2 linked regions of the Oreochromis niloticus genome follow. The protein of the gene in region 1 purifies or fractionates together with the protein of each later gene. This does not show direct contact. Links are inferred from orthologs where the notes say so. Each region holds a gene or a part of one and is shown on either strand. Other genes may lie near its edges.

Evidence for each region. Proteins that work in one complex are often made in the same cells at the same time.
Region 2: the proteins of serine/threonine-protein phosphatase 2A 55 kDa regulatory subunit B delta isoform (region 1) and cdca4 purify together in Homo sapiens (affinity purification with mass spectrometry; 3 studies listed by BioGRID and IntAct, counting the BioPlex papers as one, with this or other methods). This does not show direct contact. The link is inferred for Oreochromis niloticus from reciprocal best matches to the Homo sapiens genes PPP2R2D and CDCA4.

What each region holds. Positions count from the first base shown.
Region 1 is NC_031978.2:14,378,200-14,386,208, forward strand, and holds the start of serine/threonine-protein phosphatase 2A 55 kDa regulatory subunit B delta isoform, read left to right. Parts: upstream 1-5,005; 5' UTR 5,006-5,203; coding exon 5,204-5,210; intron 5,211-5,407; coding exon 5,408-5,482; intron 5,483-5,987; coding exon 5,988-6,085; intron 6,086-7,180; coding exon 7,181-7,346; intron 7,347-7,432; coding exon 7,433-7,545; intron 7,546-7,632; coding exon 7,633-7,810; intron 7,811-7,922; coding exon 7,923-8,009. UniProt on the Homo sapiens protein: Substrate-recognition subunit of protein phosphatase 2A (PP2A) that plays a key role in cell cycle by controlling mitosis entry and exit. Involved in chromosome clustering during late mitosis by mediating dephosphorylation of MKI67.
Region 2 is NC_031983.2:6,918,658-6,925,936, forward strand, and holds the start of cdca4 (cell division cycle-associated protein 4), read right to left. Parts: upstream 3,088-7,279; 5' UTR 2,745-3,087; intron 1-2,744. UniProt on the Homo sapiens protein: May participate in the regulation of cell proliferation through the E2F/RB pathway. May be involved in molecular regulation of hematopoietic stem cells and progenitor cell lineage commitment and differentiation.

The DNA.
Region 1 (8,009 bases):
AGAAAGCGGGAGCGACAATTTCTGAAACACAGACCAGGCAATCAAGGCTAATTACTGAGCCCGTGTTTTGTGAACTCAAAGGGCAGCATGATTCAATTAACAAAACCGATGTGTATTATAATTCTGAAAAGAAAAATTACCTCTGTCGACAACACGCTTATCAGATATAAAACAAAAGCAAATTCAAATTAAACTGAACAGCTTTAAATGTGTTGCTGCTTCGTGCGCTTTAATAGGGAAGAGTGCACACAGTCGATTTTGTATTGCATCTCAAATATTCATTCCACACTCCTGTCTTCACCTGTCATCTTTTAGAGAGTGGGAGAATTATTCAGTTCTGCTTCTTTAAATAAGAAACACAGCCTTGAAATTTGTGAGGCTTAAGGCAATTCATCAGGTTAGATCAGTACAATGTGGATGTGTAACCTTTACACTGCACTGGAACCTGCACATACAAGTGTTATGAAAGGTCCCCGTGGCACTCTGCTCTTCTGACATGGATTTGAAGACTTGCCACTTTATTAGCTGCTAAGCCCCCACTACTTGTTCTATATAGTGGAGGCCTATGTTATGAGCTGGGATCTCATTGTCTAGCGTTATTAGAGGTAGAGTCTGCAGCGCTCTCTTGTCTCCCCTCGAGAGTAGCCTGACTGTTTGAAAGGAAGCTACAAGTGCAATTTAACCCATCTTATTTACAATATGATCTCTTACAAGGACATCATCGCAGCAAGGATTCACATATAATACATCTCTACAATGTGCTTCTTTTCTGTTTTGATTGTTTCAGGAGAGTTGTTTGACTCTCAATTGAGCCCTAAGAAGAAAAAAAATCACTGAATGTGTCAAGTTAGAGGAGACGCAAACTTTAGTCAACAACACTAGTCCGGTTTTGTGTTTTTCAAAAATACTTCACATAAAATTTAGGCACAACAACAAGTGTTTTCTGCTTAAAGGTCAAAAGAGTTAATAAATAAATAAGAGTGGGTATGGGGTTCTTTATGATAGCATTAACATCGTGTCTGGGAAAACAAGCTGTTTGTGATCATCACTTTTGTCACCAACGCACACACACACACACTCACCCTCCAAAATGGAAATGATCTGTTGGCACTGAATAATAAGTGCCATAGTGCCATCTAGTGCACAAATTTGCACACTGAAGAATGACAGTCCCTGTATGTAAAACATACACTACATACTGCAGCGTACATGCAAAGGTACAGGGCTTAAGGGCTACTTGTGATTATGATAAAGGATGGTGTAGTGTTTTCACTGATCGCTTGTGTGCTTCAGTGTGAGTTTCAGCTACACTAAATGACCACACTGAAAATTTCCACTCATAGGGGAAATAAACAAGGAGACAAAGGTTTGTCTTAGAAGCCAGGTCTTTGACAACCCGCGGCTGTGGCAAGCCGCAAGGATAATCTCCTTCAGACAATGAGACGATGTTGAAGGCTGTGCATGCAAATTATACTCTGCCATCTAAATTACAAAGACATACACAGACCTCAAGTCATCAGGCCTCATATCTCACTCATCTGGCCTCCTGGCTGTTAGGTTGCCAGAGGATACTATAGAGACAACAGAACAGAAATAATAAGAAAAAACACATGAGCCAAAACAAGAGTCTTGAATAATTGATTGTGTTTGTCTTTTGCTGTTTGTGTGTGTGTGAGAGAGTGTGTGTTTGAGCGAGAGAGAGAGGGAGTGTGTGTGTGTGTTAGGACTCAGGGTCTGGACAGAGCTTATGCCCCTGAGCAGAGCAGACACATCCACTGGCCAATGGTTTGTGTTAAAAACTGTCTGATTGACCAAATGTGGGGGAAGGGTATGTTTGTGCGTGCCGGGCAAAAATGAATGTGCATGGGTATTTATGTTCATGACTGTGTGTGTAAATTCAAAGAGAAATAGGTGAGGATAGTAGCTGCGATGTGTGTGATTTTTGGCAAAATAAACCTGGGCATGATTAGCTCATGTTGAAATCAGCGCTGGTTTTGTATTCAGTAACATGGGAATAAGATGAAGTAAAGATTTCCAGGATAACAAACGCTTTTTGTTAAACGGGCCAGGAATAGGTGTGTTGTAAGATGTTAAAAAGTCAATATACCTTCATTTTGTCTGTGCTGGTAATGAGCCATATTTTCTGGGGAAAATGGCTGCTTCTCCGGAGGCACCATGTCTACTGAATGTGGCCCTGATCCTGGATAAAACAGAAGGCTCACCAATCAATCTCTCCAGGTTGCCCACAGCCAGAGAAAGCAGCTGCACCACATGTTTGCCTTGCGCGATAGCGACAAGTTAACATACGGGCAGCACAGTAACCATCCACAAGCAGCCTCTAGCTGTCTTATAATGAATTCCCACAGGGATGGGGAACTATCAGAGTCAGTGGTGTTACTGGAGGCTCGGAATAAAGTCAACACCTCTCCTTATACCTGATGAAGCTACGGCACGGCAGCACACTCACACACACAGTCACAGCCACAACGCTCGACTCGTACAAACGTGAACATTTCGAAAGCACACAACGATTAAGCTGTACGGTTTATTAAATCATAAATTAGGCTGCATTCGGGCATTACACGTTCACACAATGATGGTGAACAGAAACTGCTTCACTTGCTTTTAATAATGCAGTCTTATCGGGACAGCAGTTTTGTTTAATTCAATGTATAACACGTTATAAAGAGACATTTTTAAATTAACGAAAAATCGCCATTCAGCAATTTCTTTAATTTTTTAAAAGCCCTATTTTTTTATTCTGATTTGGACATCAGTGTGGCGTCTACACCCACACACCTACTGCTTTCAAATCATGATGTGTTTGTACTGTATTCACAAAGTAATGACTGACACACCGGTCCACTTAGTCAAACATTTAAGCAATCAAAGTACAAAACACAACGAACCCATTTGGTGCACAGGGCTCCACACGTAGAAGTCAAGGGTGTTTTAAAAGGTTTAAGCGGTTGTTAAAATAATGATGGTTTTATGAAACACTGGTGGACCATCTTTTGTTAATTTAAAGCTAAATGCCCTCACATCTACTAACTGCAAATGAGATCAATACACAAGCCGGTGCTGTAGAGTTTCTCTGGTAAACTGACATTAGTCAACTGCATTTCAGACAGCACTTTCAGAAAATGCATAATTTACACCCATTATGTATTCATGTGTGGAAACTGAGCAGGAAAAGTGCAACGCAGTCCATGATGTAGATAGATAGATAGATAGATAGATAGATAGATAGATAGATAGATAGATAGATAGATAGATAGATAGATAGATAGATAGATAGATAGATAGATAGATAGATAGATAGATAGATAGATAGATAGATGTGTCATTTTGGAGACAAGAGTTACTGCAAGGGTCAGACAGTGCTCACCACTACATTATCAAAGCATCTCCTCTGGTAGCGTTCCAGAAACTTTCCGAATCAATGCCAAGGAGTACTGCAGTTGTTCTGGTGGCAGGTGTTGACCCAACACCTTATAAGAACATTTACTTTTATGCTATATCTATATAGATATCTCTATAGACAAATAAATAGATATATCTGTACCTGTATAGATAGTTAAATATAGATATATAGGTGTACTGAGAAAGAGAGTGAGGGAGTGAGAGAGTCTTCCTAACCTCCAGGCCTCTGCTCTGCTTCTTCCCGTGGGACTCTGTGTGAGTGATGAGACGATGTGTAGCTTGGGAGATACCGAGGAGAAGGTTTTGGTGGGATTTGGCCCAGGTCTTCAAGGGTACATCGTTTTTATTCTCTTGCCACCTCCTGGACAATGTGCAGCTGCAAAAACCAAATATAAACTATGGGGAAAATATATATATATAATCAAACTTCAAGTCAGTGCAAGTGATGAGTTGGCTTCAAAAACACACGCTATGATAGCTGAATAAAAACAAGCTTTAGACTATGCTTTTTCATATCTGCTTATTGGCATTTATCCACTGAACTGTGTATATATATCACCATATGTATTTAATTAAAAAAAAATACACCATCTATAGCAGTCATTTCTGTATGCACTACATCACACTGCAGACAGTCTATTTAAAAAATAAATACACAGCATATTTTTTTGTTGATTCTGCGTAAAATAGCTTAAAAATTATTTTGTAGCTTTTAAAAATCACACTGAGTATTTGAAATAATATCAAATTAACCTAATATACTTTGAATCATTATCTAAGTTACTTTTGTTTGGTCATAGAAAACTGAAACTGCATGTGCAGAATTACCAGTTTTAGCCAATGAAACTAATTTAAAAGGCTCACTTACATTGTTGTGAAATTCTCTCATAGATTTAAATTCTGGATTCTTTGAGTGGCAGCTTTCTTTCTAATAACACTGGCTTGCATTTGTTTTCACTGGACTTGTCAGACTCTTTTTACCTTTATCTTCGTGAAGAAATATAAAAATAGAAAAGGATACAGACTAAAATCGAGTGAAAACTATATACTGGATGCGGAGTAAACTGAATTTTCTCAGTTTTGCCGCTAGATGTCACCGATTGACCATCCAATACAGGCTGAGGTACTACATGTTGTCACTATAATTCAAAGTGACGCTTTACTCAAAATCACACTTTGCATGTAAATTATAAAAAATAAAAATGTATTTTTTAAAATGTCAAAAAACGTTCAACATGCAAACAAAAATGTGTTTAACTCTTATTCATAGGCTGCTATGCAAATAATTTTAATTAAACATATTTGCTCAGTGGATATATGACTGGAAAAAATGTAGATTTTCTTAGTTGTTTTTGCATGTGTTGCTGTTTATTTCAGTCACAGTGAAAATAACCAGGCGGGGATGTGTAAATTGTATTTGTCCTGCTCATTAGTGGGCAGCTAAATAGGATTAAAAATCCTCAATAACCATATATGTAAAACATGCAATTCATTGAAACAAAGCTGGGTGGATATAAAATCCAGTGAAAATGCACATTTACTGATATGATGCTCAGGAGGATGGATGGAGTCAGGATGTGGCATGTGTGCATGACGTCATTTCTCCATGTACTGTGCGCCATTTTGGAAGAAAAAAAAATCACGGATAATTTCCGTGGTCTTGACAGATCTGGACCCGAGTCTTCACACTGATTGTGGATGCTATCTATCTCCCCGAGCGCGCCGCACTGGTTGATAAGGCATTGGAAGCTGTGTACAACAAGAGCTGCTAAATGAAGCAATGGCGGGTAAGCTACTTTTTAAAGGGAGGGAAAAGGATCCACCTCACTTGGTGTGTGTGATGGCCTGAATCTGCAACTTGGCTAACCAGCGTTAGCGCTGGCAAGCTAAGTTGCTAGTTGTCAAACTGTGTCACTGTCAGGTCATTATTACCGCCCGATGAAGGACGAGCTGGAATCACACTAACCCTGGTTTCTTTTTGCAGGAGTTGCAGGAGGAAATGATTTTCAGTGGTGTTTCTCTCAAGTAAAAGGAGCGATAGATGAAGATGTTGCGGAAGGTATGTGGCTAACGTTAGCTCGGCGGCTAGGCTACAGTGGTGGGCAGCTAGCTAGGTGGTCTGATGATGGTTCTCTGTGGGATTCACTTGAGGTGCACGAGAGCTGACGGCGGATGGACGCGCGTGCTTTTTTGCAAGACTGCTCTCGTGATTAGTGTGGACTTGTTTGTGGATCAGTTGCACAAACGCCCTTTCCTTGTAGATTACTGTGTGTCGCTAGCTCGCTATGAGCTAGGTGGTGGCTAAACTATTAAAGGGGGAGCGACCGTGCCCGTGACGTCAATGTGCTGCGTCCATAAATTGTCGAGTGACATCATGCTTGTTTTCATTCATACCTTAATGGGTGTACGTGCTTTTATGTGGTTATCGGTATTTTAAATTTTCTATAAGAACAGTGGGACCAGACTCAGCCTGCAGCCCATCACAGTAGCATTCTAGCTGCCATCCCAACTACAGTGCGGAAGCTGAGCTGTGAGGTCTGATTCACACCAATTTGTCTTTTCAGCTGACATAATCTCAACCGTTGAGTTCAACTATTCTGGAGAGCTACTGGCAACTGGAGACAAGGGAGGCAGAGTAGTGATATTTCAGCATGAACAAGAGGTAAGGATCACACAGCAGTAACACCGTGCCAGAAGTGAAGCCCTAAGCTGTTGTTGTATATAAATATTAAATATTCTCTGAGCAGTATTTGCTTATTAATGATCATAAAACTGACCTTACAGCCCATTGTTAGTCAGTGGCCAGTTTAGATCATCATGCAAATGTAGTGTCTATAAGGGTTGGGGAAACCTGCACTCAGCTGAGACTGAGGAAGTCATTTGGATGAATGCCTCCCACTCAAAACGCAACATCCAGATGAGCAGAATGAGCTCTCTGGGACACACAACATATAAAAGACCAAGTTTATTGTATCCATTTCAACAATACAATTTATAGGAATTTGTTTTGTTGTGCTCACATATACCATAAGATGCATTCATCAGCACACAGCACAGAACAATGTAATGCGTAATAAAACTGCATGTAAGAACTGAAGCCTGCATGTATATTTTAGGAAGTAAACAGTTGTCAGAAACACTGGCTAGGAACAAAGTGTGAGTGTTATTCAAACTGGATATTTTATTTATTTTGGTTTTAAGGTTAAATATTAAGGTACTAAACTATCATGGGAAGGTGTTATAATAGTTCTTCTCAGTTTATTCATATATTTATGGAAAATATGGTAAAGCTACGATGAAAATGTGCTATTAAACATTGTTTAGGGCATTTCAAAAAGCACAATGCCATGATCATAGTGTTTTACATTAGTACTCCATAATGGAACTGTTGTGAAAAATCTACATGTGGCTCCACAGTGTAGTAGTTTATACATGGACTTGGTCTGTGGGTTTTTGGGGTTGTCTCAGGAAGACCAACTAATGTCTACTATGCAGAATCAAATACCGGTATAAGGAGTTACCCACTTGGGCAGCCCACTTGTAAATAAGTGAGTGGCCGAAAATGTATTTTTATTTATTTTGCTTGTTGTTTATTGTGCTATTTTCTGTAATGAGCTTTTTTTTTTTTTTTACATATTTATGCAAAAATATGAACAAGTAATGATGAAATCTTGTTTTTTTTGCTGTTGTTGTTTTTTTTAATGCCCTAAACAATACCATGATTACAGTGTTGTTTTTGTTGCCTTTTCCCCCTCAGTCTAAGAATCGTCCACACCTGCGTGGGGAGTACAACGTCTATAGCACTTTTCAGAGTCACGAGCCAGAATTTGATTATTTGAAAAGTTTAGAAATCGAGGAAAAAATTAATAAAATAAGATGGCTACCACAACAAAATGCTGCTCACTTTCTACTTTCAACAAATGGTAAGAGCTTTTTTTCTGTTTTTCTTAATTGTTGATAATGAAGCACTATGTTCTCTCTCCTAAAGCCTTTCCTTTTTTTTCCCCAGATAAAACTATCAAATTGTGGAAAATTAGTGAAAGAGATAAACGAGCAGAAGGTTACAATCTGAAGGATGAAGACGGACGACTCAGAGACCCCTTTAGAATCACCTCTTTACGGGTGTGTTTAGCCGTCCTTCAGACCAGCCTCATTCTGAGCATAACTCTATGTGATAACCTTTCTAAAATTGATTGTTGTACATTTCAGGTACCAGTACTGATGCCAATGGATCTCATGGTAGAAGCAAGCCCACGGAGGATCTTTGCAAATGCGCACACCTATCACATTAATTCCATTTCTGTAAATAGTGATCATGAAACTTACCTCTCTGCAGATGACCTAAGAATAAATCTATGGCACTTGGAAATCACAGACAGAAGTTTTAGTATCCTTTTTTTAATATCAGAAAGCTGATTTTTAGATGTGTCTTAAAGTTTTAATAGCATTGCATCAATGTAAAATATAAGACTGCTAGCTCCTTAACAGTGTGCTAACAGATATTGTAGACATCAAGCCCGCCAACATGGAGGAATTGACAGAAGTAATCACAGCTGCTGAGTGCCATCCACATCAATGCAATGTAT
Region 2 (7,279 bases), on another chromosome or scaffold:
GTAAAAGTGACAAGGATATGGAAAGTAACAGCATTTACAATTCACAGTACAATGTACCACCATGAGCCACTAATATTTACAAGGGATATCAGGTTTCCAGGTCTACGCACGCGACGCTTCAAAAACTAGCAGAACAAGATTTTCACTTTCTCTTCACTGAGGAGGGGAAGAAAAGCACAGTCAACTTCCTCATTAAATACCACTTCAACACACACATGTCTTACAGAAACAAAACAATACTCCCGCTAATGTTAAAGGCCCCTCTGACTCCCAAAAATAAATGGGATGCAAGTGAATAGGAGACTGAGCTCCAAACAGCAGCCTGTGGCATTTAATTTTCCATCAGACAGAAAAACAGTATGCACAGTGTCCGGCTGTCTCCTCTGTGTTAAACCTGTGGGCAGGGCATTTGGGTCAATGATTCCAGTTGCTTCAAATTTCTATTTGTGATAGACATTTTAAAAAGGGGAAAAAAGAAAACACAAAATTTTTTAAAATCAGTACAATGAAAAACAACACTGATTCATGTTTTGCGTTAGGATTCACAGGGCACAAATCACAGAGAGGGTTGGATCACTTTACAGAAATTTCCTGTTTTTCAGGAACTAGGAATCAAAAAGAAACTACCATGCCCAAGACACTGCTGTTACTGTCATAAATCATCTCCACACCAAATTTTCATTTTTATTTTAGGATGCCAGGCCAAACTAAGGCCCATAATCTGTGCAAATTACATATTTTAACATTGACACAGTGTGTAGTCACGGGTGTTGTGCAATAGCATACTGACAAAAACTAGTAAAACAAGTCAACACCTTGTGAGTTCACATTTAATAGAAAAGTATACATCTAAATAGTTGATCAATCAGATCCCCACATTTTTCAAAAGTTACAATCCATGCCAAAAGGAAAAAAAAAAAGAGAAGTGGCTCGTAAGTACAATTAAAGGCTTGGGAGCCTGGAGGTCTTTGAGTCCTCGTAATCATAGAATAACATTTCCTGACAGTGGACAGAATAAAGGGGGGAAAAGGTAATTTATGAAGATACCCGGAGATCTAAAATGAAAAGGGTGAGAAAACGATTATGGACATATGTTGTCTTCTTATGTGGTGCAATAATACTGGTCCCTGTTAAATAAGAGACACTAGAGAGAACTACCTCCTTAAAGAAAAAAAAGTAGAAAAATGAAAAAAAAGAAAAAAAAGACATTAAATAGAAACAGGAAGAACTACAACCTGAGAGACGGATCACTGCACACAGAAGAGAAAACAGTTTTGGACATGACAACTTTTTTTTTTTTTTAACATTTATACTGATAATTGTTTTCGAACACCCTATAGTTTAGCATTTTTAAAGCTTAAGGATTCTACTCTGAATTTAGAATTAGATTTCTGAAAACAATAAGAAAAACAGCAATTCATATGTAGGTCATATATAAAATAAGACTGAAAGCGAGTTATGTCCTAACCAGTCTGATCAGTCATCTGTAGCAGGCAACATACACAGTGCGTTGTGTTGTGTTTTTCCACTGTGGGACATGTAAACAACTACAATCTCATACAATCAATTCCCTAAATGTTCTTACATTTTAACCACTTAAAACACTTTCAATCAAGATAATATTGACAGATAACCTAATATGAGCACTAAATAACAACCAAACTCCTGATAATAACATCTCAATCTGCAAGTGAACATTTTTTTTAAAGATTTACTTACTTTACCAATAAGAATGTATTGATTTTAAAACCCAAAGTGATCTGCTACAGACGCTTAATTTTAATGACTGATGTCGAGATCATACTCAGTTAAATAGTATTCATTTACACCTGCACATTAGTATTGATGTATTTCAGACCATTAAACTTAGTCGCACATCTTTTTAACATGATTTCACAAAAATGCTGACATATGTGGTGTTCAAAAACTTCTAACATATCAGGAAATAAGTGCGGGGAGGGGGAGGAGGATCACCTCGTGTAAATCAGTACTTTATTCTGATGCTGACATTACAGTTGTATTTACGTCAGACAGACAGTGTCACTAAACTGGATTTAAAACAGTTTAAATACAGTTACTAAACTGAGTGTTTTCTACTATGCTAGGAAGCAGAAGCCAAACAAAATGCAGCCCCGTTTTACGTCAATGGTTCTTAGCATGGCCCATCCCCCACCACTTTCACAGCCCGCCGTACTAAATGAATAAACACATTTTTAAAAAGCACTGCTTACATTTCTCCCACTTCCCTCTTAAATACATAGCGCTACCACTGCCAGTCGCCAGATTAAAACCGCTAGAATAGCTGTAAAAAGCGACGGAGAGCTTCTGGCCGTGACTGCCGCATGCTTTTGTCTTTTCAGCATCAGAGCTACCGAGCGACAATGAGGCCATTTTGCGCTAGTAGCTAACAGTTAGCCGGCCGGCTATGCTACAGACGGAATTTACACTTCTGGGTTGCCGCTAGCTAGCATAAAATGTTCCGTGAAAAAAGATGCCTCCACGGAGGCACAAAACCCTCGGCATTCGTTTGGAAACTTCCTCTTACATAAAACGAATGCTAGCGAACGTAAAGCTAATTAGCTAAAAGCGCCCACCCACCCACAGTCCGCGGTCCTTCCTCCTTTCTAGCCAAAAACAAGAGTTTTCGCCACGGCGGAGCTGTTAAGTTCCCCAAAAACAACACACGGTCACCCGGGTGGCTAGTTAAAAACACTATCGTCGGGTGCTTGAGTAGCCGTACTCACCTCGTGTTTGTGTTAATTTAATTCCCGTCTCGGTCATAGGATCGACAGCAGAGAAAGCGGAGATCAGGTTCAGATGAGATCATTCATGCCACGGCTTCAAAAACTGAACTACCTCTGTCCTGCTGCTGCTGCGGAGCGGACGACAGGAGGGGAAGGAAGGGAGGGGGAGGGGAGCCGACAAAAGCCAGCCATATGCCTGGGATTCCTCTCTAATGATTTCTCCCTGCTTTTCTCTCCTACTAATGCTTTAACAAACAAGCCAAAGCCCGCTGCTGGCTTCAAGAACAAGATGTAGAAGATCTGATGTTGTTCTGGTTACTCTTTGTGTATTGACGCTGCGTTTACCGCTGGCCTTTTTAACAAGAAAAACAATCTGTGGCGAGGGGAATTATACCCACTGAATGGAAAGTGACTAAGAAACACGAATTTACTCCGCTACGTGCCTAGTCCCTAGTATGTATGAGGTTATCGTGACATTTCGGTGTTATGCCTTTTGTTTATAGCGAATGATTTTACTTCTGATTTCACTGTCTTTATCTGACTGTTGCAACTACCAGTTTACTGAAACATATAAAAGGCTGGCTGGCGACAAACCTTTTGGCTTTTATTGTGCACGACTGATTACTTTAAGAGGTAAAATGACATAATACTCATTCAAACAAAAATAAATTTGTACGAAGTCCCTACAAGAGAATCCAATGTTGTTTAGCAAAACATCATTTTTCTATGTTTGTACTTTATTAATAATCCAATAACCTTTTTACTCACTGTATGAATTTTGAGCACTTACACTGTGGATTCACCCTCCAGTAATACTACAGTTCTACACTGACACAAATATCAAAACGCAACCCAGTTTATTAATAAATAATAAAAATAGGAAATGCTTAATAGAAAATTGTAACAAGAAACCTATTATTCTATTTATATAATATTAAAAAATAGTCTTTAACCACTCCTAATTTCTTTATATTTTCTTAGAGAAATGGGATATAGGTGACGTGATTTATTTAAAATTGTGCAAATACAAATATAGCTCGTACAACAAAAACTGAATGTGCACAATCCTAATCAACTTAGAAGTCAGTATTTGGTATGACCACCTTTATTCTTCAGCACAGCCTAAACTCTCTTAGGCAAGCTTTCTTGTGATTTCATTAATTAGGAATAGGAAGAATCAGGAATAGTTCTCCAGGCTTCTTAAAGGATATTCACAGCTCTTCTTTGGCTGTTGGCTGTTTTTTTGTTGTGTTTTCTGTAAAGATGATCCCACACTGCTTCAGCAATGTTGAGGTCCAGGCTCTGGGGAGGCCAATCCAGGACTGATAGTGTTCCACAGTGCTTTGCCACTCATTTTCATTTCAGTTATTCCGTAAATTGTCATACGTTAGCCCTTTCTTCCTGTTTCCTTCCTTAAGAATGGCTTCATGATTGTCACCCTTCCATTGAGACCGTTTCTGATGAGGCTTTGGCAAACCGTAGATGGATCAACTAAAGGGCCAGATATGTTTCTCAGGTGCTTTGTCATGTCTTTGCTGATTTTTGTTCCTATTTCTTTCAATCTGCCACTTCTTTTTTGTTTTCATCCTCCACTTGTCACTTCTTTGATATGCCATCTTTTTAGCTAAAAATGCTTTTTTTTATGCCTGTGATACTGTACGATACTATGGCATTTTACACTTAAAGCTACAATGTAAAATTGGTTAAGTGTATAGAAAACAGTGGTTGAGCCCATGAGTTAGATGGCTTTATATGTCTGAATTGTCAATTTTCTTGTCAATTAATAAGTCCGGTGTTAAGCACCTTAAAAGGCAATAAAACATTCTTCTGAAAATAGTCAGATACAAGGAACGGACTGAAAATGAAAGAAAAATTTGCTTCAGAAAGTCAGAAGAACTATTGCTCAAGACCAGTTTATAAAAATAACAAGAATGTCTGGCTTCTTGGAAGTGAAATGAGGGGTGGCTCAATACTGTTGCACAGTACCGTATTTATTTTATTTTTTTTTACATGAAATAATTGTTCTTTTTTAATTTGATGGCACCGAAAAAAGCTGTGAAACAGCCATTAAAGGCACCTGGTGGAACATCTCTTTACACTAATTGGGTTTGTTGGCAGCAGGTCAGTAACACGACTGGGTTTAAAAACACTGCCACACATGCAGACTGAGCCTCTGGTAGTTGTGATCAGAACTAACACACCACATTTTGGGTAATAGTGCGTGGATCTTACCCAGTGAGCTGTAAGCATGGTTTATACATGTTATGTGTGTTGAGACCGCAATAATAAAACCATTTTGCTCAACCCCGAACAGTTACTCTGCTTTATTTTGAATGTCACTGGTCCATTATGAGTCAAATTTGAATAAAGCCTTTGAATAAAGTTCAAATGGTGTTAACTGTTTTTAGATAATATAACAGAAACCATAGTTTTACACTTAATACATGGCAAAAAAGGTATATACTTGTTGAGTCACTGTATGCTCTGTTTTCACCAAGTCAAACAAACAAAATGCGTCTAAGCTTTTTCCTTTTGGTGGTGAAAAGGACTTGCTTTTGCTTATGCTCGTATTTTCTTAAAATGCTGAAGAAATCATTCTGGCGAGGTAACAAAAAGTCAGCTGGTTTCAGTAGCTGATAGAACCGCTTTTAACCCTTTATAGTTTGGTCTAACTTAACTCGGTGTGTCATTTTTTCTTATTTTCACCTTTTTCTGTCTTGTTTATGTGGACAGACACTTAAAAGAAATGTCTTTGGTAATATATTGTATTGATAACCTGTGGAAATATTCTCATTCACTGGAAATTTTAATGCAATGACAGACAGATTCAAAGAACACTGAGTTTTATACTTTCCCTGTGTACTAAAGAAATCAGAGATCTGATTACAAATCCATACTAAGGCCAGAAAAAGACAATAAAGTCAAGTTCAAATATGATCCCATGTGATTTTCCATCTCAATAGAGATCACTTTGATAAGTAAACTGCATGAACAGTCTTTTAGAATTGTGTATTTTGCTCATTGATGGTTGTTTTTTAAGCTTCTAAACTGCAGGTTTAATAAGAAGTTAAACTGCACTTTGTTTATATCTTCCCAAATCAGTAGCAGCCACCTTTGGAGGCTTTTCATTAGTGTTTTTTATAAGACTCTTTAAATCTGATTGGTGTAATTACCAGTAATTATCATCGCTAATGATGCTTATTACCTCTGCCTCTGGATGTTTTCATTTGCAGCAATGGTTATTAGCTTATCTATGTGCCTGTTACCAGAACCTACACAGACTTTAAATCCTCGAGGCTCCAACATCTAGCTACTGATCTGTAACCTCATTGGAACAATTATTAGACTTGACACAAAAAACAGAAGGTGGGGCTACTTTTTGGATAAGACGGATAATAAGAGTTAATTTGACTTATTAGAGGATATAAGTTACGTACCAAACGCCAACTTTAGCAAGGTACACCTTGCTAGCCCCAGGTTAGCCCCCTTTTGCTATAAAAACTGTTTTAATTCTTCGTGGCACTAATTCAAAATGGTGCTGGAAAATTTCCTCTGAGATTTTGGTGCATATTGACGGGACAGTATCACATAGTTGCTGTTCATTTATCGGCTGCGTGTCACCACAACCACCTCTCAAAGGTGCCCTATTGGATTTGGTCACTGTGGAAGCCGTTTGAGTACAGTGAACTCACTTTCATGTACAAAACCCCCCCCAAAAAAAACTGTTTGACATGAGTCTCCAAAAGTTGAATCTGTTCATCTGGACGTAGCGTTTTGTGGGAGAAACGTTTCGTCACTCATCCAAGTGACTTCTTCAGTCTCAGCTGACTGCAGGTTTCCCCAAACCTTATAAACAGTACATTTGCATAATGACTGAAACCAGCCCACTGAGGGAACAATGGGCTGTGAGGTCAGTTTCTTAATCATAATTATGCAAATTCCATGACCATTGATCAACAATCACTGACCAAAACCCACTGATCAAAGAACACTGATCAATGGCCATGAGTACCATTCACAGAGAGTTGGGGAATGGCTGCAATCACAGCATTGTAAGATGGTGACAGATGTACCCTTAGGCCCCCTCCTCGATTCAGAGATGGTCTTTCCCTTTTCACGTAAATGGCCTCCTTGACTCCGCGCTCAAACCGAGGAGGGGGCCTAAGGGTACATCTTTCGCCATCTTACAATGCTGTGATTGCAGCCATTCCCCAACTCTCTGTGAATGGTACTCATGGCCATTGGGGTGGGGTGGCTGTAGCTCAGGTGGTAGAGCAGGTCATCTACTGATCGGAAGGTTGGTGGTTCGATTCCTGGCTTCCCCTAGTCTGCATGCCAAATATCCTTGGGCAAGATACTAACCCCAAATTGCTCTCCGATGCATCCATCGGAGTATGAATGTGTGTGTGAATGTTACTTAGAAAGCACCTAGAAAAATGTGCTTGTGCGAATGGGTGTGAATGGGTGAATGCACAAGTTGTGTAAAGCGCTTTGAGTGCTCAGAAGAGTAGAAAAGCGCTATATAAGAACCAGTC